4 linked regions of the Notamacropus eugenii genome follow. The protein of the gene in region 3 interacts with the protein of the main gene of each other region in a pairwise test. Links are inferred from orthologs where the notes say so. Each region holds a gene or a part of one and is shown on either strand. Other genes may lie near its edges. The genes, in order: PACSIN2, SPRY1, MEOX2 and TRIM41.

Region 1 (7,454 bases), about 290 Mb from region 3:
AATCAGACTCTACACAGGCTAAAGGAACACAAGAGACATTCTTCCATTGCCGCCAACTTGCTCACTGAAATGACTGGAATGGAGATGGCCCAGGGTTTCACCTCCCAAACCTGATGCCCACAGGTCCATGCCCTCTGAGGTATGTAAATGATCCCTGCTAGAAACCATCACCAGATGACTTGAGCTGTGGAATGCACAGGGATTTCTTCACCAAGGTCTTGCTGCTCTTCAGCATTCTCCAACACTCTATTTGTTTGGAAATAACCAAGTCGATACTCTCACTTGAGCAAAGTTGGGCATGACTTGTATGATCTGTGTTAGGTCACAATGAAACCCTGTATCAGTCATGGTGTGACTGGAGAAGAAAGGAACACTAAATAATACAGAATGGATCGAGCAAACTATTAAAGTCAAGGAACTCATGCATACATTGTAATGTCCCATCATATCCCAAAACTGTCCCTGTACAAATCAGAGGCACCAGTTCTATCCTCTGGCTTCCAGGGAGACAAACTAAGCACTCAGTAAACATGTACCTTTAAGAAAAGAAGAAAAACAGAAGAAATGAACAGCTCTGGAACAAATGCCCAGGCTCTCCCACTTAGGAATGGGGACTGGCCATCTGTAACCTTGACTGGGTTTCTGGAACTCAGCTGGAAACATTCATTAACCACCTGAAAACTAATCCATCTCCCTCTCCATCGCTCATTACATCTATGTGGCCTCCTAAAAACTTCAGCTCAGAGGTAACAACAAAGATCGTGGATACCTCTCCGGAAAACAGCGAGCAAGACTGGTTATGGCTGGTCTTTATCTGATTCTAGAAGAGCAGAAAGATTCCAGAGACCCACTCACTGATCTACTTCTCCAGCTTAGGTCACCTCTCCCAAGTAATAAGTATTATCCATCTTAATGGTCCTTCATGGTTTCTAAAAGATGCAGGAGAACTGTGCCCCCAAAAGCACCACGCAAGAAACTTTTTCGATCCACTGGCCTCCGATTTTGCCTGGGCAAACCCTGCCAAGGTTGTCTGAAGGTTTAGGACTGAATTTATATTTGCACAGAAGAAAAGTTTCCCATACTGAGCAAGGGAAATAGTAAGTGAACCCTGGCAACCATACAAGGACGAGTCTGACGAGGGAATGTGAAGGCAACCAGCACTGCCCCTGCAAGCTGCAGGAGGGGAGACAACATGAGCTCCTCAGGAGAAGTGCAAAGGAGGAAGCTGGGGAGGAGGGGGACAAAGGAGCAAATGTTCTGCTGCAGCTTCTGCTGAAATGCTTCAAGCTGATCTGGATGATCATCAGCACCTCTGGGAAAGCCCAGAGCCTGGGCTGCTTCGTAAACAGGACAAACAAGTCACTGTGGAGACTTTCAGCCACCAGGAAATGGGGAAGGGGACGGGGGCAGAAGAGGCAGCTCTCCTAGGGGGCCTGACTCACCTCCAGTGCACTGCTCTCCCTCAGTCCCTCCAAGGGCAGCACCGGCTAGGCTTAGGAAAGGTTCCAATTCCTCCCCCAGACCGAATCTTAGATAATCTGAGGGGGGTCACTACAAGTTTATGCTCCACACCGCAGATGGTACAAATGCACTCCTTCTGGGTGGAGGAGGGAGGAAATAGGGTGCCACTTGTGGCAGATCAATGGGGCACCCTGGGCTTCCATCAAAGGCAGTTTAGGAAAATTCCAGGGTTCTGAAAGGCTACCACTCAGTCGATCCTCTGATGCTTTCTCACTGCCCTCTCTTCCCCACCAGCCCCCATCGCAGACAGCAGGGGAGGCCTTGGATCCCTCCCACACATAGGAGAGTGTGTCCCAGAAGGGGAAAGGGAGGGAGAACAAGGGACTGCTATTGAAGCAGGATAACCCCAGGGGACCTGAAAATAAGCCCAGCTGCAGAAGGGCCGGCCAGGCTCCCAGGGCAAGTTATTAAAGATTCCAGCTTCCTGCCCTTCCAAAGAAGGCCCGTCCCAAGCAGCAACAATCTCCCCACACCCCTCCCTCAGCTAAATCATCACCCTCTCCAGCTCACCCAATGCCACTAACACACCCAGGTTCCTCACCTCAAATCCAGCAGCTTGCTCCTCCAAGAGAACCCCACCCCCAGGAACCCCTTCCCCTTCAGCCCTCTCAAGTGTCTCCCACAAAGGCCCCCTTAGTCATTCTTTACGTTGTGTGCAATGAGCTGTGTACATGCCAATATCCCCACTCACCCCCCAAAAAAACCCAACCACAACCTTGTAAGTTGGGGGAGGGGGGAGAAGGAGCTGTCATTTCTCATCCTTGCTTTCCTCTTCTGTTAGACTGGCTCCCTCTTTTGCCCCATCCCATATGTGTGTGTGTTTGGAGAGAATATGTAGATAATTATTACATAATTACTATTTAGTCACACGTATTATATCCGTAACATATCAAAGTGGATATACACGCCTATACAACGGGTGGGCGTGAACATAAAAACCTCCTTGTATTAGTTACATATTCACTACATGGAGTAAATATGAAAGTGGACACACACGTATGTGACATACGTTATACGCACATACACCGGCACTTTCACTGCGGATGCTGAACACGCAATGCCCCCTCTGCCGGCCTCAGTTTCCCTCACAGTCTAAGGCGGGGCTAGACCCCGCAAACTCGGGGGCTCCCTTCCGGGGGGGCCGCTCCGGGGCGGGCGCGCGTCTGCACCTGCTCGGAACTTCACCTGCGGGGTCCAAGGCGCCCCTTCAGTGAAGGGCTCTTCCGGTCTCCCTTCCCCCCAACCCTGAGTAGGTGCCTAATGAACCTTCCCTGGAACGAAGGGCGCTGCCTTTCTGGCACACAGTAGGCGCTTTAGGAACTCCGACCCGAACTCGGGGAGTTCAACAAACCCCGGAAAACGCACCGGCCCCTCCCCCTCCGTGCCTAGCCGCGGGTCGGGCGAGGAGGCGGCCCTGGTCATCGCAGCCCCGGAGAGCTCGGGTTCAAGTCCCGCCCCTGCGGCCGCCGCCGGCCCGGGCGACCTTGGGCCAGTCCCGGCCCCGGCCTCGCGCAGCGCCCGCGCGGCGGGGGGGCCCGTGCTCGTGCCCGTCCCACTCGTGCCCGCGCTCCTCCTCTCCCCCTCCCCTCCCCCTCCCCCCTCCCCCAACGGTCCCCGGCCCGGCCGGGCCCCGCCGCCTCGCCTCACCTCGGCCCGGGGCCGCAGACAGCCCGCCTCGGCCCGCTCCCGGCCTCCCGCGCCTCCTCCCGGCCCTGCTCACGCTCGCTCGGACGGACGGACTGACGGACCGACGGACCGAAGGACAGACGGACCAACTGACTTCCCCGCCCGCCGCTGCCCAGCCCAGCCCCAGCCGGCCCTGCCTCCCGCCTGCCCGCTCCCCATTGGCCATCTGCCCGAGGGGCAACGCCCCCTCTCGGCTCTGCCTCCGGTCATTGGACAGCCCGCTCAGCGGGGGCCGAGGGAGCCAAGGCCACGCCCCCGGCGCGCCAGAGGGAAACTCTCTGAGCACCCATTGGCTGGTTTCCCCGTCGATCGGAGCTGGTTGCTATTTAACCAGCCGGAGGCGAGGGGCGGGGGCGGGGATTAGTTAGTTACAGTTTCTTAAGGGCTCAGAGCCCGGTCTACGTGGGGCAGCCCCGGTGTCACCGCCCTCCCCGGGCCTCGGTTTCCCGCTCTGTAGAATGACAGTGGGGTGAGCTTGTCGGGACCCCAGGTGGGGCTGAGCCGGCCTGCGCTGGGCATCGGGGGGACCCTCGCCCAGCACGTGATTCCCCCGACCCCCGGAACCCCCCCAGGCTGCCCCTCCACTTCTTGGGAGGCAGTGAAGACCCCGAGGGCGGAGGCCGGCGCCACGGAGCCCCCCTCCTCGTTTACCTGGTGGGTAACTTGCATTGCACTCGCTCCAGCCCTGTGCCCAGTACCCAGTACCCAGCACGGAGTAGGTGCCTAATAAATGTAGATTGATTCATTTCTCTCAATTCCCCACGCCCAGCCCGCGGGAGGGGCTTAACAAATATTCATTGATTAGGTCCGCACCTGGCACATAGCAGGGACTTCACCAATGTGGACTGATCAATCGGTTTCTCTGTAATCCCCATACCCAGCACAGTGCCCGCACACGGTAGGGGCTCAAGAAAGTCTCACTCTAGGTGGAAATTTGTTTAGCTGGACTATGCCTACCTGTTACAAGGACTTGGTTTTTCTTTTCTTTCTCCTTTAAGGAGAGTGGACGACCAGAGAACATAGGGAGGGAAGAAGGCAGACAGAAGCCTGCATCAACTTTTTTTTTTTAATGCAGAGGAATGAACAGAAGAAAGGTCAGAGTTAACACAGAAAAGCAAGATTGTCCTTACACTTAATGGCAGCTAGTGCATGCCATTGTGACGAGAGCACCAGGCCTGGAATCACTAAGACCTGAGTGCAAATGTAAACTCAGACGCTAACTAGCTGAGTGACCCTGCTGGAGTCACTTCACCTTTTCTGCCTCAGTTTCCTCAACTGTAAAATGGGGATACTAGCAGCACCTCTCTCCCAGGGTTACCATGAGGTCAGAATCCCTCCAGCCTAGCAGCCAGGAGGCTCCGATCTCATCCCAATTCCAGTTCTGCTTCCTGTTCTCACTAGGTGACTTGAGGCTTCAGTTTCTCCTTCAAGGACAGGCAAGTTCAAGTACTGTGACCTTGGGCCAGTGACAGTCTCTCTGAACTTCAGTTTCCTTATCCATCCAATTAGGATTTACTCTGGTCATGGGGCCATGGTGAGCCTTGAATGAGATCATGTGTGCTTTGCAAATATTCAATCTCTGTAAAAAGTTCAGCTATTACTCTTCAAATTCCTAAGCTCTGGAAAGGAGCAAGTCCAGCCCTCTCATTTTACAGATGGGGAAACAGGCACTCAGGGAAGGGACCCAAATTCTTTCCACTTCGAGGCTGTGTCTAATGCAGGTGTAGGTTTGTGGGGAGGTGGGGGAGGTGTCAAATAGAATTAATTATACCAAGCTGGAAAGTCAAGTTAAGATTTCCCTCCTTCCTGAGAGGCCAGCCTGCAGGACAACCACCCACCAAATATTAGTGTCCAGACACAATACTGGATCTGGAGCCGGGGACCTGGATTCAAATTCCACCTCAGCCACTTATGGCAATGGTGAAGTCAGGTCACCGCTCAGAGCCTCAGTTTCCCCATCCATAAAACGGGGGGTGGGGGGGGCAGTAATCCCTGCAGTACTCACCTCACAGAGTTGTAGGTAGGAAGTTTGTAGGTAGTTTGTCAACTACCAAGCATTACAGAACTGAGACTGTGGGAGCAAAGTCATTACCTGTATAGCCCCTGGTAAAATATACTGGCTATTAATTCTCATAGAGCTTCTTTTGTAAAGTGCTTCCACAGCTACTTTGTAGGTCAGTGGAAGCCCTCAAACTTCCTAGTTTATACAGGATGTCCTCAAAGTCTCAGTGGCATTTTAAGCTTAAAGCTATCAATAATATTAAAACTACACTAAGACTTTTGGAGACCAGCATGTGCATCTGGCAACAGTCTTGTTTGGTCTCCCTGCCTCTGGTCTCTCACCACTTGGCTCCATCCTCCACACACCCACCAAAGAGATTTTTGTGAGATGTAGGTCTGACCATAGCATTCCAGCCCTGTTCTCCCACTATCAACTCCAGCTACTCCCTATTACCCTCCAGGATCAAAACTAAAAGCCTCAGTTGAGCATTCAGAGCTCTTCACAACTGGACCCCCTCCTCACTCTCAGGCCACACGCTGGCATACCTTCCTGCTGCCCTTGATCTTTCACCTCCATACCTTTGCATGGACTGTCCCTTCAGGGCTGAAATGCTCTCCTCACTTGAGTTTCCCAGATCTCTCTGGGGTCTGAGCTGAGACACCACCTTCTACCACTTGAAGGCCTTTTCCTCTGGGTTCTGGCCTACCCCATTCCCAGGGGTTCGTGTTCTCCCTTCCTCAAACGACCTGGTATATCCCCCACATACATAAGCAGCACAAGTGACTGTTTCATTTTTGTCTCTGTGTGCCCAGAAAGAACAGAACACAGTAGCTGGTATATAGCAGGGACTTAACAGATATTTGTTGACTGCTAATCGACAGAGGTCACACAATGAGGAGGTCACTTCAAGCTGGAGAGATTTGTTCAAGGCAGGCCTTGAAGGACAGGCCACAGATCAGTAAGGTGTCTAAGAATGCCACACTGCTCATCACAGGGGCCAAACCAGTGTTCGTGCCCAGGCCAATGGGAGCTCCCTCCCCAGCCCACACCCACAAGCTAAACAAGGCAGGCGAATTCAGGTGTTGAGTATCAATTATTTCCTGGTGTAAGAACAGAGAGAGAAACTGGAGAGGCCCACGGCCCTGTTCAGGGCTCCCCAGAGACTGCACAGGCCAGCAAGGCTCCTGGCCTAATTTCAAGGGAGCCCCCACCCCTTGCTCAGCTCTGGGGAACTACTTGTCAGGATATTCTATTCCTTTGGGGAAGGGGGGTGAAAGTGCTTTGTTTTGTCTCCTTTGGGGTTTTCCGTTCAACCCTCTAAACTAGGTGGAAAAGTTCAAGGCTTTAAACACTTGGATTACTGGCTTCTAGATGCCCCCCCCCCCCCCCATCTCCTCCCAGCTCCACATAGCCCGATTCAGCTGTGACCTTGGCCAAGTCCCTTCTCCTGGTCCTTAGTTTTTTCCTTCTGTAAGATAAGAAGGTGGACAAGGTGATCCATAAAATCCCTGCCAGCTCTGAAATGCCACCCTCCTGGCTTGGGGATGCCTGCTCTCTGTATACCTGAATCCTGCTCATATTGCTCACACAGTAGGCATTTAATAAATGCTTATTAAACAAATTGAAATTGTGGGATGCTTCCATGCAGCCACCCCTGATTCTGACCATGTCACTCCCCTACGTAACCTCCAGTGATTCCCTATTATCCCCAGCATCAAACCTAAAACTCTTCTGTGATGACTTTAAAGACCTTCCCAACCAGGCCCAACAGCTGGTCGCTTTCCCTCTGCAAATGCGTCAGTCCAGCCAAGCAGACTTGTTTTTTCTTTCTCACACATCTCCTGCCATTGTACTGGAACTGGGTCCCTTGCTTGTAATGCCTTTCCTCCTCCCCTCCCCCTTAGAGCCCTTGGTTCCTTCAAGGCTCATCTCGCAGGGGCCACCCTCCTCAGGTTCCCCTTCCCACATCTTTTATCTGTTTCTTTTTTGGACATCCTTGTGCAGGTCTACATTGTCTCACCACTCGCCACATTTGATTTTTGACTTTGCATCCCCAGCACCAGATCGGTACTTGGTAGCCCTGCTTAATTAAGGCTTGTAGAATGCATTTGCATCTGTAACAATAATAATCCCTTCTCTCACATTTTTAAAGGTAAAAATCAGCTTCCTCACAGCAACTCTGGGAGCTAAGGAGTATAAACCACAGAAAGAGCCAACATTTCAAGTTTGCCAAACCCGTTATCTC
Region 2 (7,967 bases), on a different chromosome or scaffold from region 3:
ACCGGACTTACCCTCGAGGCTGGGAGTGAGCTGCACCTGTTGGGGGAGCCCCCCCTCCCCCGAACATGCACAGTTTTCTCTCTACACATGGGAGCCCTCCTCTCCAAACCATCAAGAGAACGCATCTGCGTTTAAATGCGCTCAGGTGCACCCCTGAATTCTCCACCCCACCCCCGTGGCGCTGAAAGCGGTCCCCCCAGAAGCCCACCTACCGATTTCGGAGCGGTCACCAGGGGCGAATTCGTCCAAGCCCGCTCCGCGTAAGACCCACTGCGCGTCCAAGCGCCCGAGACGAGCATTAAACAGAGCTGCCAGGGCTTGCGGTCGGCATCCCCTCAAAGCCGAACTGAGGCGAGGCGAGGGTTAGCGAGCCCAAGGACTCCCCCTCCCTCCTCTTTCCGCCTCCTCCTCCTGCTGTGGCTGCGGGAGGGAGCCTTTCCCCGGCCCCCTTTTGGCTGCAGGAGAGAATTCTTGCTTGCAATTCTCTGGAGGAGCCCAGCTCTCTGCCTCTCAGCAGAGTGAACACCCCCTTCCAAGGGGCTTCCGTCTAGCAAGGATTCCGCAGGTAGAGTGCTGCTCCGAGCTTTGCCAAGGGTCTCCCGAAAAAAAGTTAGAGGGGGAAGAAAAACAAAAAGAGGAGGGGAGAGGGGAAGGATTAGAACGAGGAGGTTCTCCCTATTGCAGGAACAAGATCCTTGGATCTAAAGGCAGTTCTGACGGCAAGGTTTCTCAGCCTTCAAATCTCCCCAGTTCTGATGCTGAGAATTCCAAAATAGGGCGGGGTGGAGGGAGGAATGAGCAGTCTTCAGCCCTGGATGCAGAGTGGATCTCAAAGCGGCGTTCCCAGTCAGTCCCAAAGATGCCAACAGCAACCGAATGCAGCTGGCTAGTCTGCAGGCAGGCAACGGAGGGGTCCAGCGAGGATACGCCTGAGACTCCTTTTGGAAAGTTCTTCAGAGTCTCGGTGGATTTCACTTCGGGGAGTATTCTCTTCCCCCCACCTTTCTTTTGCGGGAAGGGGTGGGATTCCGAATAACCCCACGACGTCGCGATGGCAGGATGTCCTGTGGTGTGGAGTCTTTAGATCTCCTCTTGCCCAGGCTAGGATGCTGTCACGCTGCCTCCTTCACTCCACAGCAGCTCTTCTAGGGTGGGCACAACGTGCCAGCGCCTCAGCTCGTTGGGCTCAGTTCAGGCCCAGGAGCAGGCAGTGGGGCGCAGCTTCAGCTTGCTCGCTCGGCATTCCAGGTCCACGTTCTACTCTGCTGCGGAGAAGAGAGTGGCGAGAGAGAGCCCATTAAGTAAAATGCGTGGTTGTCCCGGAGGGTGGCTCGGGGCAGGGGCAGGGGCCGGGGCCGGGGCTCCCTCTCCCGTTCCCTCGGCCCCCAGCTAGGCAGCCAGCCAGCCTGCCTGTCTACCATGTGCCTGCTGTTGCTCTCCGAGTGATTGACAGCGGCCCCGTAGGCATGCATGTCAGTCAGCTCCCTCACCCGGGAGCCAGCGCCCCCCGCACCCCCCGCCCGCTTCGACAGCAGGGACTGCAAAGGGAGGTCCCGGGGACACTTCTTCAACCCCCCTCCTACACACACACACACACACACACACACACACACACACACACACGCACACACACGCACACACACACACACACACACACACACACACACACACACACACACACACACACGGTGGGAGGAAAAGGGGTCCGCGCCCTGGAATTCATGCCCAGAGCCCGGGCAGACCTGGAGGCTCCCACACACACACGGCCCCGGCACCTCGCGGGGTGAGCAGAGGCTGCAAGTCCGTCCCGGCCGCTCCCACGCGGGAGGCTGGGGGGAAGCGAGCGCGGAAAGCCAGCGCTGCCCTCCTCCGCCAAGGCCAACCCCGCTCACCCGTGCATTCCCCCTCCCCAGCAGCGCCCCGGGAAGAAGAGTGAGGAAACGGCTCCTACCTAACGCCAAGACTGGAAGTGCCTTTCCAGACACGCACCTTTGCCGTCTGGCCACTCCGGGAGCCGGGCTGGAACTGCGGCGCGCGCCCTGCCTGCCCGCCCGGCCGCCTGCGACCGCCCGCCTCGGAGAAGCCAGCCCCGCACGCCCCGAAGCCGCATTTCAGCGCTCAGCCTCCACCTCCACCTCCGAGCCGAGGCCCGCCTCCAGTGATATCATGTGTCCATCACGGGAACTGCTCGAAAACCTGGAACAGGATTTCCTCTGACAGGCATTTCCTCCGTGGTGTTTACAGAAGTGGACGGGGTGCAGGCATGCACTTGCACGTTCGGTCTCCCGAGGCAGGCAGGCAGGCTGCCCTACTTGGAGCTCTTTCCCTGAGCTCCAGCCCAAGGGGGTCTGCAGAGCCTTCCGGGAGGGGGGAGGAAGAAGGAGAGAGGGAAGGAGGGAGGGAGGAGAGGGACAGAGAGGGGGAAGGAAGGAGGAAGAGACAGAGACAAAGACAGAAAGACGAGACAGAGACAGTCTTCCCTAAGCCAATGGAAACTGCTTGGAAAGCATCAGAGCAAGTAGAGAGTTGCCCATCTGAGTTATATAGTCCCTGGGAATACTAACTGGGCAGAGAAGTTTGTAGTTAATGTTCACACACACACACACACACTTCCGATTACCTTCATACATTCTTTGTAAAGTCTTCTACGCACCTTGTCATTAGCGTGGCTTCACCTCGTTAGAATGTACACTTCTTGAGGCCAGGGACTTTTTCCACTTTCTTTTCCTCTGAGGAGTTGAGCATAGTGCTAAGCAAACAGTAAGCATTTAATGAACGCGTGTAGACTGATTAAATGATTAAGTGATCTGCCCAAGAAATGGGATTGAAAACCAGGTTCCTTTATTTCGGCGCAAAGTTCATTTTTAACAGAATTCAGCAGATGCCCAACTTCAGCGTTCTCTCCTGGGCACCACAAAGCTACCAGAGAGGTGCCTCACTGCATGTTTGGAGGCTGGCTAGCACCCGGAATGTGACCTCAGTGTTTCAGAAAAACCAGAATTCTAAACACACACACACACACACACACTTTTGATGTTTCAAAGGGCAGGTGCATTATATAATTTCCTAGATTGAAAACAAATATATTAAGAAGCAAGGTCAAATAAAAGTAATGAAAAACGCTGTGTCCTGTCCTTTACCACGGATTTTGCAAGTTTGGGAGGACTAAAGTTGTACTGCTTGTAGGAAATGTAACCCCAAAGCCCTCGGTAGCCCATGGCATCTCATGGTCCTTAGTAATCTGATATGAGTCGCTGAAGGACCTAACAACTTTCTCTGCATGTATAAATGAGACTGTTTTTTAATTTTCTGGTAACTTTAGATTTTAAAACCTTCAATACCCCCAATCAAACAGATTCTAGCCCCCTGGAAAGCACATATTGCCCATAGGAAAGATAAGGTCTTAGTGTCACTGCTTCATCATTTTTTTAAAAAAAGTAATATCTTAAAACTAAAAAAAAAAGTATATTTAATAAAAGCAGACTTCCCCCCCTTTAAGAAATCAAGCAAGCTTAGAATCAGGCAAAAAAAAAAAAACAATAAAAACACAAACTGTCATTAATTTATTATTAAAATTCTTCTTTCTATCTAAAGTCAGATTTGGACATTTTTAGCTCAAAGAAATATTTTGTAATTTTTTTCGTCAACCTTTTCTATAAATTGTGTTTTTTCACCATTGACAAGTGATATTGATGATGGTGGTGTTTATTCTTCTGGATTTCTAACGGCTTCTACTCTGGGAACCATAGTTGGGACAGTTTTCAAATTACCCAGAGTAGGATAAAAATGTTATCACTCCAAAAGAGAACAGAGTGAACATAATTCTGGGATGTGCCCAAGATCTTTGCAATGTACAGTTCTGCTACAGGAGTCATAGTTTAGTAATCCCAACATGATACCCTTAGGGAAGTTTTCTGATTTTGAATCAGTCTAAAGTTTGGTGCTAGCATTTGCCTTTACCAAAGACATATTAATTTTTAGGCACTTTTGATTGAGCTGAAATTTATTACTAGGAGGACAAGAAATATTTCAGCCCATCTCAGGATCTCATTTTGTTCTCCAGTAATTCCTACTCAGTGTATATCACAGTCATGGAAAGATGTGATCACCACTTCACCGATACTGCAAAGCCAGGAGAGGGAGCACTAAACATTTCTTTAAAAAAAAAAAAAAATCAGTTTCTCTGAATAAATTACAGGTAATTTTGGAAAATAAATGGAATGAATGATTTTTTCAAGAGAACATATATATTTAAAAATTTGCTTTTGCAGTAATGAATAGTGTTGATAGTGACTAGACCCATGGTTTCACTGGATTATGAAAATTCCAATCAGAAAAATCCCTTTACAGATACTGGTGTTAAGAGAGTTACCTAGAGCACAGAGAAGCTAAGAGACTCACCTAGGATCACTCAGCTACTATCTGGCAAAGAAATATCTGAACCCAGATATTTTTGGCATTGAGGTCAATATCCACTATACCAAGCTGCCTCTTAAAATAAATCAGACTTGTCATTCATTATCATTCATGAGTCATTCATGGTCACAGAAAATTGACTGTCATAGTGGGGAAAGTTGACTCATATAGTTTTCCATTCTTTGGTGTCAAATGTAGACATACATCTCTACAAAGTAATTTTTTTGTTTGTTTTGTTGATGATGCTTTTTGATTTTCTTTTTTATAGCACCACCATCATTTTCTAATATACCACATTTCCCCTATCTTCCATTCCCATAAAATTTCCTCCTGGAACAAATATATGTAACCTGTGGTCCAGCACCATGAACTCTGGTTTTATACAGGTTGATAGTGGCAGCCTACAGTTAATCTTCCTTCAGAAAACTAATGAAAGACGGGTTGCTAGACAGGCAAAACTGCCATTCTGGGGAATCCCACAGGCATCCAGCTTTGCAGCAGTATTATAGTCCTTCCGGAATATAAACCCTTTAAGATGATAAATAGGTACCATTCAATGAATGATCCTACCCTGGAAGAATGCTTAGAAGTCAATGAGTCCAATCCCTTCATTTTAGAGATGAAGAAAGTGAAGTTCATAGAGATTAAAGGATTCACCCAAAGTCAAATAGGTAGTGAGTAAAATTCAAACTCAAGTCCTGCAAACCCCAAGTATAGTGCTTTCTCCATTGCACCATGTTGGTTTCAGCCATCGGAAAGAGATATATAGGCATCTGGCCTCACAGAACTGCTGTGACTGATTGAACTCCTGTAGAAGGGAAACACACTTAATAGAGTAGCAACCCCAATATCCATTTGAACCATACTATTCAAATGACTCCTATTAATAATGGAGTACAACATCTGGATCCCTTCTTTCCTCATATTACAACCATGGTCCCTTGCTGCTTTTCCTCCCAACTTTGGACATCCACAAAGAGGCTAGCTCTGCTCAGGAGTTCTTTTATCTCAACAAAAGGTTGAATTCCAAGATTCTAAAATTTGAGACTGCTAGAAAGGCAGGCAACTCCCAAGGCATTTGCTTCCCGAGGTCATTGCTAAAGAAACATTTAAGGGATTTGGGCAGCTAGGCAGTGCACTGGATAGAGTGCTAGAGTCAGGAAGCCTCAAATGGCTATGTGACCTTGGGCAAGACACTTTAACCTCTGTTTGCCTCAATTTTCTCATCTGTAAAATGGGGATGATAACAGCACCTACCTCCCTGTGTTGTTGTGAAGATTGAGATCATAATTGTAAAGTTTTCAGCACAGTGTCTGTCAAAAGGTACGTTAGCTATTACTATATATTAGCTATTCTTATTATTATCTCACAGGGTGGTTGTGAAGAAGAAATGAGATAATAACTGTAAAGCACTTAGCACAGTGCCAGGCACAAAGTAAGCTCTATATACATGTGAGTTATTATTATCGGTATTAGTATTAGTAATCACCCTTCTTTTACTAGAAGTCTAGATTACAGGTTCAGGAACATTCAGGAAGTTACTTTGGCATTAGAGAACTTATGGTAGTATGCTGGCTCTACCACTTCTTACTTTCATGAGTTACTTAGCTTTTCTTTGCCTCAGTTTTCTTATCTGTAAAATGAGAGGGTTGGACTTGATGGCTTCTCAGTTCTAAATCTATGATCCTACTCAAGAAATGGAACTGTTGAATTTAGTATTGCAAGAAAAACAAAACCAAGAAAAACCTCTCCCCCACTCAGACCATATGGCTTCTGTGTCCGGGGCTGCCATGGAGTTGAAAGCATGGGATTGCTTTCCCAAGGAAGGAATGGCTCCTGGAGGTTAGAGGTGATAAGCTTAACTGGTGAGCCCAAGAGGCTGATCCTCATTCTGCTAAAAGGCAGAAGGGTCAAAGTAGGAATACCTCTGAAGATCCATGCAGCAGAAGGCAGCTGGAATTCATAGCAGGGTTCTCTTTTCTACTTCAATCTAGGACATCACCATTGTTCCAGTTGCTAAAGTTCAGAACCTTGGTGACTCCTAAGTCTCACACTATGTGTCCAATCAATTGTCAAATTTTGTTTTCTTTTCCATCTGCCTCCTTGTCACTCACATTGTCAACACCTTAGTTGAGGCCCTCATTGCCTCTGTCCTGGACTATTGTAATAGCCACCCCTGTCTCAGTTCTCTCCCCACTCCAGACCATGCTCCACATAGCTGTCAAGGTAATTTTCCTAAAAGTCAGCTCTAATCACATCACTGCCCTTTCAGTAAAGTCCAGCGACTCCCTATTTCCACTTGGATCAAAGAATATTCTATCTATATCTCAACCTCTATTTTTACAATTTTATAGTTATTAGTTACATATCAGGGACAAGTTTTTCATGCAGTGTAGTAAATGTAAAATAATTGAATATAATTGAACATAAATTAAGTGTATGGAATAAAACTATTTGGAAGTCACTATTATAATGGAATGAGCACAAGATCTGGAGTGAGAAGACTGGGTTCCAAATCATAGCTCTATCACTTAGTAATGGTGTGGCCTTGGGACAGTCACTTCACTTGGGATTACACCCTTGAGAGAAATTTAGGAAAATTAGGCATTTTAGTGAATTCAAATTCAGTTCAATGTTTATTAAGAGCCTATGATGTTCATGGAACTGGGCTACATACAAGATAAACAGAGACCAAAAGAGAAGAGACAAGAAGAGAAGAGATGAGGAGAGAGGAGGAGAGGAGAGGAGAGGAGAGGAGAGGAGAGGAGAGGAGAGGAGAGGAGAGGAGAAATTCCTATCCTCTAGGAACTTACTTCATAGGAAGAGACACAACATTTACAAAGATAATTAATTATCATGTAATTTGAGGAAAGGGAAAAGTGCTAAAAATGGTGGGATCTTGAGAAGCTTCACAGAGGAGGTGACCTGAGCGGAGAATTAAAGAAAGCTAAGGATTCTGGTGGCACAGTGGTCAGAGCAGGTCAGAAAGACCTGAGTTTAAATCCAGCCTCAGATACTTATGAACTATGAGATTCTGGGTAAATCACTTAACCTCTGCCTGCCCCAATTTCTTCATCTGTAAAGTGAGGATAATAATAGTACTTACTACTCAGGGTTGTTGAGAAAGTCAAATGAGATAATGGTTATAAACTTCTTAGCATATTGTTATAGAAATGTTAGCTATTATTCTATCATATTTACATATCACGACTTGTTCAACTATTCCCCAATTTATAATCCCCACCCCGCCATTCTCATTCATTCTTTGGCATTTCAAAAAGAGCCGTGAATACTTTTGTAAAATTCTTAGAGTTTCTTTTATTTAAGACTAATTCCTCCCTTAATCAACCCTTCTAATTCCCTTCTCTTTCCCTATTTCCCTGTTGAATGAAATGTATTTCTGTAGTCACCTGTTTATGTTCTTATCTCCACTGACCAGTTCAGATGAGTGTTGTTCATATGTCAGCTTCTCCAACCACCCCTTTTTCCAAGGTTGTATAGATGTTGACTAGTGCACTTGATTTTATGAGATGTGCACTCCCCCTTCTTCT
Region 3 (7,326 bases):
AGGGAACTGAGTGCATTAAAAAGCTTCGATTGCTGCAGCAATCCTTACCACAGCTTTCTTTTCCCAAGCTTACGAAGCACTTTCCTTTTTGGCAGGAAATGCCAGCGTTACCGCTATCCTACAGACGAGGAAACTGAGGCTCAGAGATTTTTATTTTTTCTTTTCAATTAATATTTACAGAAAACTTACAATTTCCATGCCCATATTTATGCCAGTCTCCGTAGCGTGACTTTGCAGAAACAGTCACAACATGGGAGCCAAAAAATAAATAAATAAATCAAGCATCCTATCATTTCAAAATTAATAGAAGTGATCGGGAACTTCACACAGCTCTCAGACACTGAAAGGGATACCTTAGCCATTCGAGTGGAATTTTATCATTCTGCTTTGCTTTCTGTAACTGATGGAGAGAGGGAAAATAGAAAGTACGGCTGTGCGTCTCTTCTTTCTCCCTTACTCTTGATTGTATTTACATACATGCATACATACATGCATACTATATAAGACCCACAAAGAAAGATTTCTCCGAATGGGGAAATTACGAGATAACCAAAAATCAAAAGATTTTACTTCCAAACATGATCAATTTTTAAAAGTGACATTAAAAAAATCATGCTCCTATTTATGTGTATATATGCGCGCATATGCACATCTGTATTTATATTTAGTATTTTCTCCAGGAAACGATGAAATTCATTTCAAGTTCAGTTTCCTGTAACTTGTGGAAAAGGACCTGCGTGCATTTCTCCTGTAAGAGCCTTCTAGCCTTCCTAGAAAGCTAACTTACGCGTGGAGAGGTGGTCCTGAATATCTCTCGAGTTCCCCACACCTTCACCTTAAGCTTTGGACTGGGAGAGTGTCTCGCTCCTTTGATTCTCTCTCTCTCTCTCTCTCTCTCTCTCTCTCTCTCTCTCTCTCTCTCTCTCTCTCTCTCTCTCTCTCTCTCTCTGTCTGTCTCTCTCTCTCTCTGTCTCTCTGTGTCTCTGTCTCTCTCTCTCTCTCTCTCTCTCTCTCTCTCTCTCTCTCTCTCTCTCTCTCTCTCTCTCTCTCTCTCTCTCTCTCTCTCTCTCCCTCCCTCCCTCCCTCCCTTTCCAGCCTCTTCGCCAGCTGCTTCTAACGACTGATTGACAGGGGCAGGTTGGTTGAGAATTTCAGGACCCTATCATAGGCCATCCATTAACACCTGATCCAGGAGACCGACAGAAGAGAAGTCAGCTCAGTACTAGGACAGTCGAGAGGAGAAATTAGTCAAGCAGGCGTCTCTTGGTGCTAATTGACTAGGTTTACCTGAAATACAGTTGTTCTAGGAGGACCTAACTCTCCAGCATGAGAACTCTCTGGTTTGAACCCTGGGGCATACGAGCTAGTCTCTTTCTTCTCAGCGCTCCCAGAGCTCAACACAGCTCTCAACCGGTGCGGATCCGATTCAGTCTCCCTGGGATTGAAGAGTACCAAGTGGGAAGTCGCGATTTCCCAATGTTCTTGGTGCCGCGCGGGGATTGGGGTGCCAAGCTTTCTCTTGACCACCTTCTTAATTCCTCCCCACCCCCCTGCCTTTGCCCACAGGCTAGCTAGGGCTAACCAAGCTCAGAGTCCTGGTGAGCTTGTTTTCCTTTGTACTTTAAGGTTTAATATCAGAGCCCATATTGAAACCATAAACACACGGAGAAATCAGACAAATATTCCACCCCGATGGTAACCGAACCGCCCCCTCCCTTTCCTTCATACGCTGGGCCCAGCCCATAGTCCCCTCTCCCCTCAGAAGGGAGTAGTAGGTACCCCTCCACCCTTGCCATGCTTTTGGGAGAGTAGAGGGCCTCATCACGAGGAAGGGTCTCCCTCAGATCAGTCAGGGCCCGTCTGGCTTACCGTTGGTCCCTGGCCGTCTACAGCTCCCTGTTCTCACCAACACTGCCCTAAAGAGCAGGGCAGGCAGGCAGGCAGCTGGTGGACAAAAGTTTTCGGTTTTTTTTTTTTAAACCAAAGTCTGCAAAACTAATTTCCCTCAGAATAGGGCTCAATTTCCGTTTAAGAAAACAGCTCTCACAAATCGTAGAATTCCTGGTCCCCCCCCCCCCCCCACCCCAGCCAAGGATAATAATTTTATCTTTCACATGGTTCTGAGGTTGTGTGGCCATCGGCAGCCCACAAATTGTCCCAGGGATTAAAAGGTAAAAGGGGCGTAAACAGGAGTGAGGGAGTACAGGGATGGAACAAGTCGGGCTTCAGTGAAGTTTAGGGAACCCCCTGAGTGGATGGTAGAGAGTATTCCTAACAAAAGCCGCATGTCCGCTCTATCGTAGTGTCTCTTCTTTCCTCTTCAAAGATTCTGGGTCCATCACTATTCGGGAGGGACACTTGAGACAACGAGAATACTGAGGCCCTCACGTTCTTTCCTGAGACTGCCGTCAGGCTCAGATCTTGGGAAGGAGCCCAGATAGGGAAGAGTATTTACAGCTCGGATTAGGGTCTGACATACTTCTACAGACTCTTCCCACCCAGTCTGTGACCTTTATGAATCCATTGCCCTGTCTCAGTCCTTAAAGGGGAGGTTAGCACCCAGAAGTGGTGGTGGTAGATCAGAGAAGTGTCTAGGGTGTGTTCATGGGTTATTTGCCTCCCTCCCCCCACCCCACCCCACGCACACACACTAGAAGAAAATTCCCATCCAACTTCCCGCAAAGGTAAGTTTCTAAGGCTGAATGGACCAGACGACCTCTGAGTTTCTTGCAACTTGGAAAATGAAAAATAAAAATTGGTCAGGTAGAAAACATCTGTATCCTCAGCTCCCGAGAAGGAGCGGCCAACCGCCCCCCCCCCTCCCCAATCCCTCCTTGGGGAGCCGAGGGAGTGGAGTCTCGGCGTTCTCCATATACCAAACCCGAGTTTGAAGGTTTGTGAGTTTTCTTCAGAGTAGGGTGGGATAAAAAGGGAGAAACCTCTCCTGAGGCATTGAGCTGAGTCTGGGGATACTATAAACACATCTCTGCACTGAGGACTAGTTGATTTCTGATTCTTCTAGAGAATTCAGGCAAACGGATCAAAAAAAGACCTTCGCACAAAGGGCTGTTTGTCTCAGCCCGGTGTGGGACTGCAGGTGAGGTTGCTGGTGGTTTGGGATCAGGCTGACTCCGCCTAAGGTTCACTTCCTCCCTCTCCCACCCGGTTCCTCAGCCTCTTTTCCCCTTGAGATAGGAGTCTATTTCCGCCAGAAGTCCAGTCAACCCCGCAACTTCAGACAGGGCTGCTACTCTGTGACCCATCAACTATACGCCCCTCTGACCCCAGAAAAAGGAGAGTATGGCACGGTTCCCGCGACCCCTCCGGGGAGCAGCATCTGCCCCAGCTTCTGGCTCCGCCTGCAGAACTAGGGCACTGCCAGGTTGTCGGCTCCTACCCTAGCGCAGCTACACAGCTTCTCCCAGCGGCGCCTATTTGCAGATGTGCATGCAGATGTGCATGAATAGCAACAATGTTTCCAACAAAGTAACAAATAAGCAGAAACAAAATTTCCCCGGAAAGAACAAAGTGGAACTTTGCACCAGTTTTTCGTGGGCTCGTACGCTCAGGATCCGAGAGCGGGTGGGCGTGAGAATGGGTGTGCGCCTGTGTGTGGGTGTGTAAGTGTGGGTGTATGTGTGTGCGAATATATGTGAGTGTTTGCATGTGTATATGAATGTATGTATAGGGGCGCTCCCCTGGGGCCGTCTATCAAAACTACAGTCCCCCCCCTTTCCCTGGGGGCCCAGCTAGGTGTGCCACCCAGGAGCTACCCGGGCTGGGGGAGGTGGACAGAGGAGGCTCGAGGAACCCAGGCTGGGCGGCGGCGGCGGAGCCGGCGGGGAGCGGAGCGGCAGTTTGGGAGGGAGTCCGCATGTGGTCAGCGCGGGGTTCCTAAGCCAGCCCCCAGCTCACATTACACTCTATTTATAACCTCCCGGAGCCGTTTCCCCCTCGCAGGCAGGCAGCATTCTCTGGGACCACCTTCTCTTGGCTTCCACCTTTCTCCTCCTCTTCCTCCTCCTCCTCGTCCCCCTCCTCCTTCTCGTCCTCCTCCCCCTCCTCCCCTTGACATCCGAGCGTCCGAAAGCAGCAGCGCAGCGGGAGGATTCCTCCTCCTTCCCTCTCTTTCTCTTGCTTCTTCCCGGGGCTGGCGCAGCCGGCGGCCGGCCGGTCCGACAGACGCACCGCCGGACTCAGCCCTCCAGAGTTCTCTTGTCCCGTCGCAGCCGGGCAGGCCGGGGCCAAGCGGGACAGCCCGAGGCCGGACCGGAGGCTGCGGCTCTGAGCACATTGCTGGTTTACCCAGGACAGCGGAGGTGGAGGCGTCCGTCCGCAAGCTCCCGCCGCCGGGCAGCAGCCGCGCCTCGCATGCTATGGAGCACCCGCTCTTCGGCTGCCTGCGCAGTCCGCACGGCACAGCGCAGGGCCTGCACCCTTTCTCGCAGTCATCCCTGGCCCTCCACGGCCGCTCGGACCACATGTCCTACCCAGAGCTCTCGCCCTCCGCCTCGTCGTGCATAATCACTGGCTACGCCAACGAGGAGGGCATGTTCGCCAGCCAGCACCACCCGCGCGGCCACCACCACCACCACCATCACCACCACCATCACCCCCAGGCACCCCCGCCGCCTCCACCACCGCCACCTCCGCCTCAGCATCAGGCTTTGCAGGGAAGCTGGCACCTCCCGCCCCTGGCTTCGCCGCCCGCCGCCGCCCGCCACAGCCTGTGCCTACAACCAGACGCCGGCGGAGGCCCGGAGCTGGGCGGCAGTGCCCAGGGTTTGTGCGCCTCGTCCGGCAGCTTGGGGGCCAGCACGCCCACGGGAGCGGCGTGCGCGCCAGGGGACTACGGGCGCCAGGCGCTGTCACCCGGGGACGCGGAGAAGAGGGCGGGTAAGAGGAAGAGTGACAGTTCAGGTAAGGAGCCGTCGGGGGGCTCAGGGCGATTCCTCGCTGGGAGTGGGCTAGGCCAGCTGCCTAGTGGACCGGCACCGCCAGCGTGGGCAACTGGGCTCATTTCCAGAGGGAGAGGCTCAGCGCGCGCGCGCATACACACACACACAAATCACACAGAGACTAGCACACAGGTACCAACAGACAGAAGAGTACCCTGACGGACGCATTCAGAGACATACAAGTGACTAGCTATAGAGACTGATGCGCAGACCCATACACGCTCAGGTGTCTGGGCACTGACAGGCAGGTTCTCTGACACACACAGGAGGACAGGACATACGCAGAGACAGTCACAGATGCATAGACGAACAGTCACATACACACAAGAACGTGTGACGTATTTATTGAGTGTTGAAAGCGCGGTAGACTTGCAGCCAATGAGTATAATGGAACTTCTCTCAACTTCGCGAGGCCATGGTCAGAACTCCTCGAGCCTTTCCCGCTATCTAGGATTATGTGGAGACGCTCGCTGCAGTACCCTTGGCTACGTAGACTGAGGCAGGGACTCTGCTGGCATCTGGGGCTTAGGGGAAACTCGAGAGCACGTGACAGCGCCTACTCTCAGTTGCTCAGTTAGCATTTTCTCTAGGCTAAAAAGGGAGATTTGTGGAACAGAGTCTCTGTTTCGCTTTTGCTGGTGCCGGGCCCTTAGTGGGGCTGCCTCGGACTCACTCGGCAGTCACCAGCCAGCCCTTCCTCCCCCTTTTCCTATACTTAACTGGATTTCCAAATTCTTGTGCAATCTTTGGAACCTTTGCAGTAGAACCTGGCAAAGTTCATGAGAAAAAAAACAAACATATATCCTTTATTCTGAATAAAGAATATTTTAAATAATCCAAGATTCCTAAAGTGAAAAAGTGGGGATCCCTGAGAATTGGGGAGTAAGGGGCAATTTCCAAAGTCTGAAGTTTGCACTTGAGTCTATATGTAAAGGACGCCCTTTGTGGATTTCCAAAAAGTAGTTGCCCAGTTAACTAATCGTGTATTGGGGGAAAAATGTTTCTTAATATTGGTCGCTATTAAGGGGGTGCTTTCTGGAGCACGAAATTCTCGTATCCGCAACAGGGAAAGTTGTTTCCCAAGTGGTGAGAACCCAGAAGACAAACAGAGGGGGTCTTGTCCAAAAGCTGAGAGTGTTGCCACATGCCGATTTACCCAGGGTTCAGGAAAACAAAACAAAACAAAACAAAACAAAAAACAAAAAACAAATCCAAGCCTGAGGCACTCAAGGTTGCTCCGATGGGGAAGCCGTAGCAAAGAGATTTGGAAATCTGATCTGTCAGACAGGAAAAGGGCAAGGCGAAGTATCTCTAACTCTTTGTAAAGATTCACCGCTGAATTCACAGCACCAGAGCCAGCGAGAAAACTAGTAAGCGATCTTTGGGTAAGGCATTCTTGGAGTATTTCCGGTAGCAAGCCTAGGCACCTTATTTTCTTCTTGAATCTAAGGACTGCCATGATGTTTTTGTTTTTTTTTAAACAATCATTTGGTAAATGTATCCCACCCCCCTCATTTTATGGGTTATCAGCTTTAAAAAAATTACCAAAACTATAGTAAAGTCAAAGTGACTTGAGATCTTGGGCTTAAAGTGTTTTATGTGGGATCCGAATGTTCTTCAGCATTAGGCTTGAAGGAGACTTTTTCAAGGAGGCTGTGAGGCAGATGTAAATCATCCTGTCACAACTTCACAATCTAGCCCCTTCTTTTGAGTGTTAGGAGTGAACATAGCCTTCCCACATCAGGGCTTCTTTATCCAAGAAGAAAAAAAATCCATTTTCTCATACATTATTGGTGGACTGGACAAATCAGGTGTAATGTTCTTAAAATGGTGACAAATAATAATATTAATCAAACCTACTGTTATACCTATTTCCTTGGACATGGGGAGAAGGCAGGCACCTTCAAAGTCCAGACATTATAGAATTTGTAAAAGTCTCTTATGAACACAATATTTTATATCGCTGTAAGTGAAAGACATTTTAGGTCACATATTTAGGCACCAGGAACTCTGGAAATGAATAGTTTATTGGATGAATTGTTCTTTTTGTTTACCGATCTGAACCAATGGGCTATTTTTTTTCTTTCTCACCCACACACAATTATTTTGATTGGAGAAAGACAGGAAGAGGGGAGTGAATTAACTTCTCTTTGGTGATCGTTTCCAGAGAAAACTGCTCCCCTCCCATTTTTCCACAAGATTGTATATATTTGTCTTTGGCCCTGGTTCGCAACATGGCAAAATAAGATCTTGCAAATCAGTATTCTTGCCTGTTGAAGCTCATGTCTGGAGTACGAACAAAATAGTGACAATTTGTGTTGGTTTCTGCCCCTACGGTTATTGGGTGAGCATTTGAGTGGGAAATACC
Region 4 (7,878 bases), on a different chromosome or scaffold from region 3:
TAGTATTCCAATGGTTACTTAACAGTACTTGTAAACTCTGCTGGTGGTCCTCAAAATCAAAGAGAATGAAGATTCCATGAAGGAAATAATTTTTCTCAGTAGTGGAATTGTATTTACAACTTTTGACAAAGTAATTTATAATAATTACAGTAATCAAGTAATTCACAATTATCAATCTGTTATAACTACTTTTATAAGTTCCTATCTGTCAATATGACGTTCTAACTGATGGAACAAAGATTGTCAAAGGCAAGAACCATGTGTTGAATTTTGCATCCTTCTCTTTCCTTCCCCAATCAAAGTCCAATTCAGTATTAAGTACAAGTCTCCACAAATAAAAGAAACTCAAAAAAAGTTGCCAATTGAACTAAAATTCAGGTCTAGGATTCTGCTGGGAGGCATGCCTGGAGAGAATGGGCAAGTACTGAATTTATTCTCAGAACCAATATTAATTTCACATACCATTGTGGAGAACCCAGTTCAAAGAAGTATGAGAAATACAAAGGAAAAAGTAAAAAGACTTAATCCCCTTCAGGCAGTTTACAATTCTAGGTTAGGTGCGGGGATCATGATGCTGTGAATTAGATAAACCCAACTTGGCCTCAATGTACAATTCACTCTATTATACAATTAATTCTTCATTGCTAAAGTCCAACAACACAGCCAAGTCCTAAAATAAATGAGGTGTCAACCAATCTATAAACAGAATTCAAAGGTGGGATCTCAAAAAGCAGCTACTCAGGAAAAAAATAGAGGTAGGCTAATGTTGAAGCAATAAGGGTGCTAACATTCTGTCTCCTGCTTTATAGTATAAACTATCCAATTACTTTAAACTAGTCAGCAAGGCCAGAGAATGAAACAGGTGTGGTTTTGAGGAGCTCCCCAACCTCATTAATTATTCCAGATTTATACCTGAGAGATGAATAATTATCAGCTTACTTTTAGCCTGAAGTGTTTCCCCAATTTTTCTCCTAAAATTTCTCTCTCTCCATCCCTGTCTCTAGGAGGTCTCTGAATCACTCTGTCAGGGCCAGGGTTTTCTTTGGTTACTACTACTACTTACTACTACTACTACCACCACCACTACTACTACTGCTAAAAACACCTGTGAGGTGACCCACAGAAAGCAGCAGTGGTCTCCCTGGCAATGTGACATTGTGCCCAGAATATTATGAGGACAGCCATCCCAGTTTCTACCATGCGAAACACCTACCTCAGAGGGTTGACTGAAGGATAAAATGATATTTGTCAAGTGTTCAGCACAGGGCCTGGCACCTAGTAGGTACTATATAAATGCTTATTCCTTTATTCTCTATATTATCCTCCTGTTTCTCTAGGTAGGCCTTCTCTAGTATGAAGCGGAAGTGATAAGGTTGAATGTGGGATGAGATCTGGCAGGGAAAGGGCAGTTACCCTCCTCTACTCCCCCTTCCTGACTCTGCTTCCTTTCTACCACCCCAAGACTGTGTCCCCTTCTCATTCTCACCTTGTACTCCTGCACCACTTCCTCCAATGGCACCACACTGTGTTGCTTGTGGTTTCTCGATTCCCGGCACACCACACAGATAGCCTCCTCATCCACTTCACAGAACAACTTGAGAGCCTCTTGGTGCTTGGGGCATACACCTTGTTCGTTCCCCCGACTTCCTCTCCGAGGGGCTGGGTGCATTTGCCGAATGACCTGCACCATGTTGGCCAACTGTAGGTTGGGTCTAAAGCTCCTACGGGGAAAAGTCTTCCTACACTGGGGGCAGGTGAATCTGCGCCTAGGAGCAGGGGTTGGTGGTGGAGGGGTGGCTGGCTCTAGCTCTTCCTCTTCATCTTCTTCCAATACCTCCTCATCTTCATCTTCTTCCTCCTCCTCACCCCTCAGCTCCTCTTCCACATCCCCCAGGTAGTAGTCCAAATCTTCCTCTTCCTCCTCATCCCACACATAGTCCATGTTGTCCCAGGTGGGGCCATTGATGCTATTGGTCCAAAACTCTTCATCCTCTTCCTCCTCCACTTCTTCCTCTTCCATATCCCCCTCGTACTCATCCTCTCGCATGGGGGTGTCCCACCCACCACTGGCACCCACTGCCTCCACCTCCTCTTCTTCCCCTTCATCTTCTTCCTCCTCCCTCTCCTCCTCATCCTCTCCACCCCACAACTGGGTCACACACACCCTGCAGAAGTTGTGCCCACAGCCAATGGACACGGGATCTGTAAAGTAATCCAGGCAGATGGCACACACTGCCTCCTCTTGGAGGGTCTGGACTGGATTGGGTGCCATGGCAACGGCAGCCATCTTAGTCTCAAATCAACCAGGGAGGGTTATCTGCCAAGGGCTAGGGCAGGGAGGCCAGGAAAACGGAAGGGGGTGGGAAGAGGGAGATTCTTCCTTTTTGATTCTACAACCAAATTCCCTTTCTGCCCCCGTTTCTCTTCCCCACTCCCAACGGGGGCCACAGAGGTGCCCTGACCCAAACACACACTGTGGCGCACCTGCGCGCGCACGCACACGCACACGCGCGTACACACACACACAAACACAGTTTTTAGCCCCAAGAAAGCGAGGAGCTCTAATTTACAAACCTAATTGACAATAGCCTTTCCCACCCACTCCCACCCCCATGCTGCAAAAGGGACAAATGGCACTATTTCGGGCCCTCCCGGACTGTTTCCTCAGTCTGGGTACTGAATGCAAATCCTACCTAACTCCTCCTTCCCCCTCCTCATATGGTTCCCTCCCCTCACCCCTAGCTCCTCCCCTTAACTTCCTGTAATCTTTGCTTTACTTCCGGCCTCTTCGCACGCCCATTTCCTTCCACCCGGGCCCTCCTTGGCTCCTTATGTCTTGGGCTGCCCCGCCCCCTCCCTCTCCTCTCTTCTCCGGCTCTCGCGCTCTCAGCTAACAGGAAGTGGGCTAAAAAGCGGCTCTCCTATAGGCGCCCGAGGCGGAAGAAGGGGCGGGAACAGAAAAATCCGGGTCTCTATGGTACTTAAGGAGGCCGGGGCCGTCGCATTGATTGGAGACTCTTCCCCCTCCCCCCCCAATGAAAGACACAGGTTGGAGGGGGGGAGGGGAATAGGAAGGGCGACGCTCTAGGCCATCCGTCGAAGCGTCTTCCAACTTCGCGTGCGCCGTTGCTACTCTAGCCCCCACGGAGGTCTTGGGCAGCTCCAACCAACAGGCGGTTACCGGAAATGGAGTGAAGTTGTGGGAACAGGAAGACCAAGAGGAAAGTTTTACGCCTGCGTTCTTGTAACCTTCCGGTCTTTCTAGCCCAGGAACTTTGTGGTCAGGAGGACTCTAGACGATTCCATAGAGGAGGAATTTGGGGGGAGGTCAGTCGCTTCTAAAGTGAACCCCCACCGAAGGACAGTGGGTCTGGCAAGAGTAAGACTGCGGGACTTAAAAGACATAAAGTTGCAAGAACTGTTGGGTCGATGTTCACTCCCCCTTTGTGAAGGGCTGGGTGTGAGAGCTTAGAGTACCCAAAATTTCAGACTCCAAAAGAGTCGAGCTTCGAGCCAGTAGTGAAATGTGGGCCCGAAAGCAGGGATGACATTTGGCCGATGGTCCTAGGTACCATGAAGTCCAATCTGAAAAGAAAAAGCAAAAAAAGATCCCAAGGAGCGGTTCGGGACGGCGTTTCCTTTAGATTTGGACAACTGATACTGAGCTACTCTATAGCTGCTTAGGGCTTGGGGGATAACAAGCCTCGCTAATTAGTTTCCGTAGTGTAGTGGTTATCACGTTCGCCTCACACGCGAAAGGTCCCCGGTTCGAAACCGGGCGGAAACAGTTTTTTTTTTTTTTTTGGTTGGAAGTTACTTTAGTTGACTTCTCCTTTTTCAAGTTACAGCTTTCTCTGTGTATTTGTTACCATCCTGCTCCTTCTCTCCTCCCACTTACTATTAATAATTAGGTAGCCCACAAAAGAAATAAGCCTAGAATGGAAGAGAAAAGAAACATCAAATCTGCTTGAGCCAGTCAAGAGTCCTAGCCTCCTGGGACATATGGGTCAGAGTCGTTTTTCAGTAGCCCGGCTAGCTCAGTCGGTAGAGCATGAGACTCTTAATCTCAGGGTCGTGGGTTCGAGCCCCACGTTGGGCGGAAGTTTTTTCTATCCCCTTTCTCCTACGAAAGAGAAACATGTTGCTCACCTGTTTGTTTTTTAAAATTTTCTTCCCGTCTCTGTTCTCTTACTATGAAAAAGAAACGTTGCTTACCTATCTCATTCTACTCTGTCCCTTTCATTCGTCTATCTGTTTTTGTATTTTTCTTCCTGCCTCTGTTCCCTTATTTCTCCTCTTGTCCCCCTTTCAGTTGCTCAGTCTTTCTTTTAGTTCTCATCACTTTGCTTCTGCTTGCACAAACCTCAAGACTTCGAAAATTAAGATACAAAAGTCTGAAATCTTGGGTGCTCTAAGCCCTCACATCTACTCTTTCTTTCCATTCATTCCCTTCCGGAACGTAAGGGTAGAGGGGAGTTCGGTGTAGACAGCGAGCTGTGGGGCGGGGGGGTCTTCGGGGGATGGAGAACAAACAGGAGAAACAAGAGAATGGATTCAGGTAAAGCACAGGAAATGAATTACCCTTTCAACACTTGGCAGGTGACTTCCTCTTCTGCGAATGCGCAGAAAAGGGAAAGGGAGGCGGCGGGAGGAAGATGAGGGAGGGAGGGGAAGGGACCTCGGGGTAAACGGAGAGCATCGGAAACTGGAGCTGTGGAAGGAAACCCAGGGATGCAGGGGGCTTTTCTCTTCCCCCTCCCCCGCTTTCCCCTCTCAGATTCTGTCCAATCGCTGCTGGGTTTAGGGACCCAGGACTCCGTGCTCCCCACTCCCCACCCCATTCCCCATCTAGCGCCCTCTCTTCTCCAGGATCCTGAGCTCTGTCCATCCTCAGCTTCGCTAACTTGGATCCGGGGCATCAGGTTTTCAAACCTTGGTCAGTCCAGAAAGCCAGCGCCTGGCCTTTCCTAAAGCAGGTGCTCATTGAGAAAGAGAACACGAGGGGAGTCTGGAAAATCAGGTTTCGGGTTTGCAAACCGTAATCCTTGGGCCCCGGAGCCTGATCAGAGTAAGCCTTCGGGGCTGAGGATAGATAGATAACCTAGGGCTGGAGAAGTGAGAAAACCATTCAATCTCTTAGTCTTTTCATCTGAAAAATGGGAGGTTGGGCTAGATGATTTCTAAAGTCTCTTCCCGCTGGAAATCTATGGTTCAGTCAACTGCCAGGTAGCCGGTCAAAACCAAAACGTCATTCAAGATGACAATGGGGTTCCTTTCAAATTTCTCTAATCTTGTCTCCCCTAAAGTGAATTGGTTAGGTTCGGGTGCTCATAATGCTATAGCGTAGGTTCAATCCATGTTTGTGAGAGAAATTGTTATTTCTCTCTTATATTAACAACCAATTATTAATTGAGATAAGGTTTCCTCTTTCAATTTCCTCATTCAGATATAACCCTTTGAATAATGTCGTTGAAGGACATTGCTGATAGATAAGATTGCCCAAATCCTCAGGATATATGCTTGGTTGGAATCCCACCCAACTACAAAACTTTACATAGAGAATCTAATCTATATGAATTTCTGCCCATTCTGCTCTATGCAGGCAAGCTTGCGAGGGGGGTAGCTGGAGGTGTGTTCGTCCTTCGTTGCTGAAGAAGACCATGCCATCAGAGAAACAATGACATGACTTAACACTTGACTTTGTTTTGAGGGAGGGAGGGCTGTGCAGGTCACCAGCCTCACTTCTCCCCCAGGGCCATCTGAATCCAGTGACCAGATATTCTTCAGGATGACTGGAGATGACCCAGGATGAGGCAATTGGGGTTAAGTGACTTGCCCAAGGTCACACAGCTTGAGGTGGTCTTCGGGGAGAGGAGTAAGAGTGACATCATTATCAAAATCACGTACCCCAGCCCCTCATTAGAATAGGCCCATCTGTCATTGTCTCATTAATTAATAACCAGTCAGAGTTTATTTCCGACTATGGGGAACACTAACTTTTCTGAACCCGTATAAACCTTGAGAGGCCTCCATGATTTCTCTTGGTTCACTAGAGAAATTCCAATGACCATCCTTTTATTAATTATTTGCTAACTATAGTCAATAAAATTATTAATTACCAAAAATTGTCTCTTGCACTTTTTAACTGCATCATATTGGTAAATGAATAGGTAAATGAATAAAATTCCAGTTCCAATTTCTGTTTTACAGTTTCAATAAAACAGAACTAAGAATGATATAATCCTGATTGTGAAAGGAGGTCATGGTGGAACTCCTTGGTTGGAAGAAGGATTCCCTCAACCTTAGACTATTTCTGCCAGCTGGAAAAATCAAATATTGAAGATACTCATACATTATTTATGGAACCTTAGGATATTTGTCTTTCCATCTCTGCTCCTGCCTTCATATTAACATGTTCTCAGTTCCATGACATAGAGATTCATACCCTTAGTATTTATGTGTTATGAGAAATGAGAATTTCTCCTTAGTATTTAATAACTAATTATTTTATTAGCCCCAATTCAGAAACCAATTGGGTAAATCTCCAATATCTAATCAGACAGAAATTCTAAGTTTGGATTAATGGGTGCATTACTGTTCCTTGTGTTGGCTCAGACTAGTGGGAGGGTGGGGAGGAGGGGGAAATGTTGATTCTCCTTTGTCAAACAAGTAATAGGGAAATGGATAAGTCTCTGACCAACATGTGAGTGATCCAAGTCATGTACCCCAAGACCTTCATTTTAATAAAGTCCACCTCCCATTGTAATATTCATTTTCTCATTGTTAACTAATCAGAATTGGTTGCCACCCCTCACTTACCCTTGGAAGGCTATATAAACTATGAGCCCACCATCATGAGGGAGGGATCTTTGGTCTAAGAGAGATGACCATCCTTTTTATTAATAAATATGCTGGCCTTATTAATAAAATGATTAAATTATCCAGAAATTATGTCTCGGAACTCTAGTTCCATTTTCATAAACTCTGAAATTCCTTTATCATAATCATTCATCATTCCATCTGTTCCCATGCCGTAAGACATTAATCTTGATGTTCAACCTTAAGTGACTTCCACCACTGCCACCTGACAGAACTTTCCCAGGCTAGTATCACTTCTGAGCTACCTATATACTCCTTCTTTTCCTATCCAGACTCCTTGATGAACCAGTTCAACTTTACTCTTTAATCTCTTGTCTCTGTCCAATCTGAAATACTTCCTTGACAAATTCTAACCCTGGATCACTCCCACAATCTGCCCCATTTGCTTATATTCATATGCTCTTGAATTAAAGCTAGATCACTTGATTATGGAATCTGTACCTAATTAATGGCTCTTTGCTGGCTGCCTACAAACACACTCTTGTTTCACCTATTTAAGAAAACACAAAATAAACAAAAAACCCTCTCAGCCATTACACCATTTGGGCTAGCTAACCTCCTTATATTTCCCCTCCTCTTCTCAGCTAAATTCCTTGAGATAGCCTCCTCCATTCCCAGTTGATAAATGGTCAAAGAATATGAACAGAGAGTTTTCAAAGGAAGAAACCCATGCTATCAATAGCCATAGGTAACAGTAAGCACTCTAACATACACAGGGGAGCCTGCTATCAGAGGCTTTGATCTGCTTTTCTAAAAGGAAAGACAGTTTTTGAGGGGTTAACAATCTCTTTTAATCAAGCACATATATCATTCACTTAGTTCAGGAAATCAACAGACAGCGCTTCCAAACTGTCTGACATAAGAAATACATATATCATAAATCAACAGACAGGTCCAACTGTCTGACCATAATTGCTAGAGAGGGAAGCACTAACATCTGGGTTTTTAAAGAGGGGAGGGCAGAGGCCTGCTTAGCAGCTTCCCAGAGTCTCATCTGGC

What was found.
Region 1: the proteins of MEOX2 (region 3) and PACSIN2 interact in binary tests that used the Homo sapiens proteins (3 or more experiments, as listed by UniProt). The two-hybrid records come from large-scale screens. The link is inferred for Notamacropus eugenii from reciprocal best matches to the Homo sapiens genes MEOX2 and PACSIN2.
Region 2: the proteins of MEOX2 (region 3) and SPRY1 interact in binary tests that used the Homo sapiens proteins (3 or more experiments, as listed by UniProt). The two-hybrid records come from large-scale screens. The link is inferred for Notamacropus eugenii from reciprocal best matches to the Homo sapiens genes MEOX2 and SPRY1.
Region 4: the proteins of MEOX2 (region 3) and TRIM41 interact in binary tests that used the Homo sapiens proteins (3 or more experiments, as listed by UniProt). The two-hybrid records come from large-scale screens. The link is inferred for Notamacropus eugenii from reciprocal best matches to the Homo sapiens genes MEOX2 and TRIM41.

What each region holds. Positions count from the first base shown.
Region 1 is NC_092874.1:301,774,722-301,782,175, forward strand, and holds the start of PACSIN2 (protein kinase C and casein kinase substrate in neurons protein 2), read right to left. Parts: upstream 3,358-7,454; 5' UTR 3,169-3,357; intron 1-3,168.
Region 2 is NC_092878.1:161,416,566-161,424,532, forward strand, and holds the start of SPRY1 (protein sprouty homolog 1), read right to left. Parts: upstream 3,105-7,967; 5' UTR 1,990-3,104; exon of another isoform or gene 1,952-1,989; intron 1,266-1,951; exon of another isoform or gene 1,263-1,265; 5' UTR 213-1,262; intron 1-212. UniProt on the Homo sapiens protein: Inhibits fibroblast growth factor (FGF)-induced retinal lens fiber differentiation, probably by inhibiting FGF-mediated phosphorylation of ERK1/2. Inhibits TGFB-induced epithelial-to-mesenchymal transition in lens epithelial cells.
Region 3 is NC_092874.1:8,790,817-8,798,142, reverse strand, and holds the start of MEOX2 (homeobox protein MOX-2), read left to right. Parts: upstream 1-3,947; 5' UTR 3,948-4,376; coding exon 4,377-4,920; intron 4,921-7,326. UniProt on the Homo sapiens protein: Mesodermal transcription factor that plays a key role in somitogenesis and somitogenesis and limb muscle differentiation. Required during limb development for normal appendicular muscle formation and for the normal regulation of myogenic genes.
Region 4 is NC_092873.1:80,977,156-80,985,033, forward strand, and holds the start of TRIM41 (E3 ubiquitin-protein ligase TRIM41), read right to left. Parts: upstream 3,198-7,878; 5' UTR 2,288-3,197; coding exon 1,487-2,287; intron 1-1,486.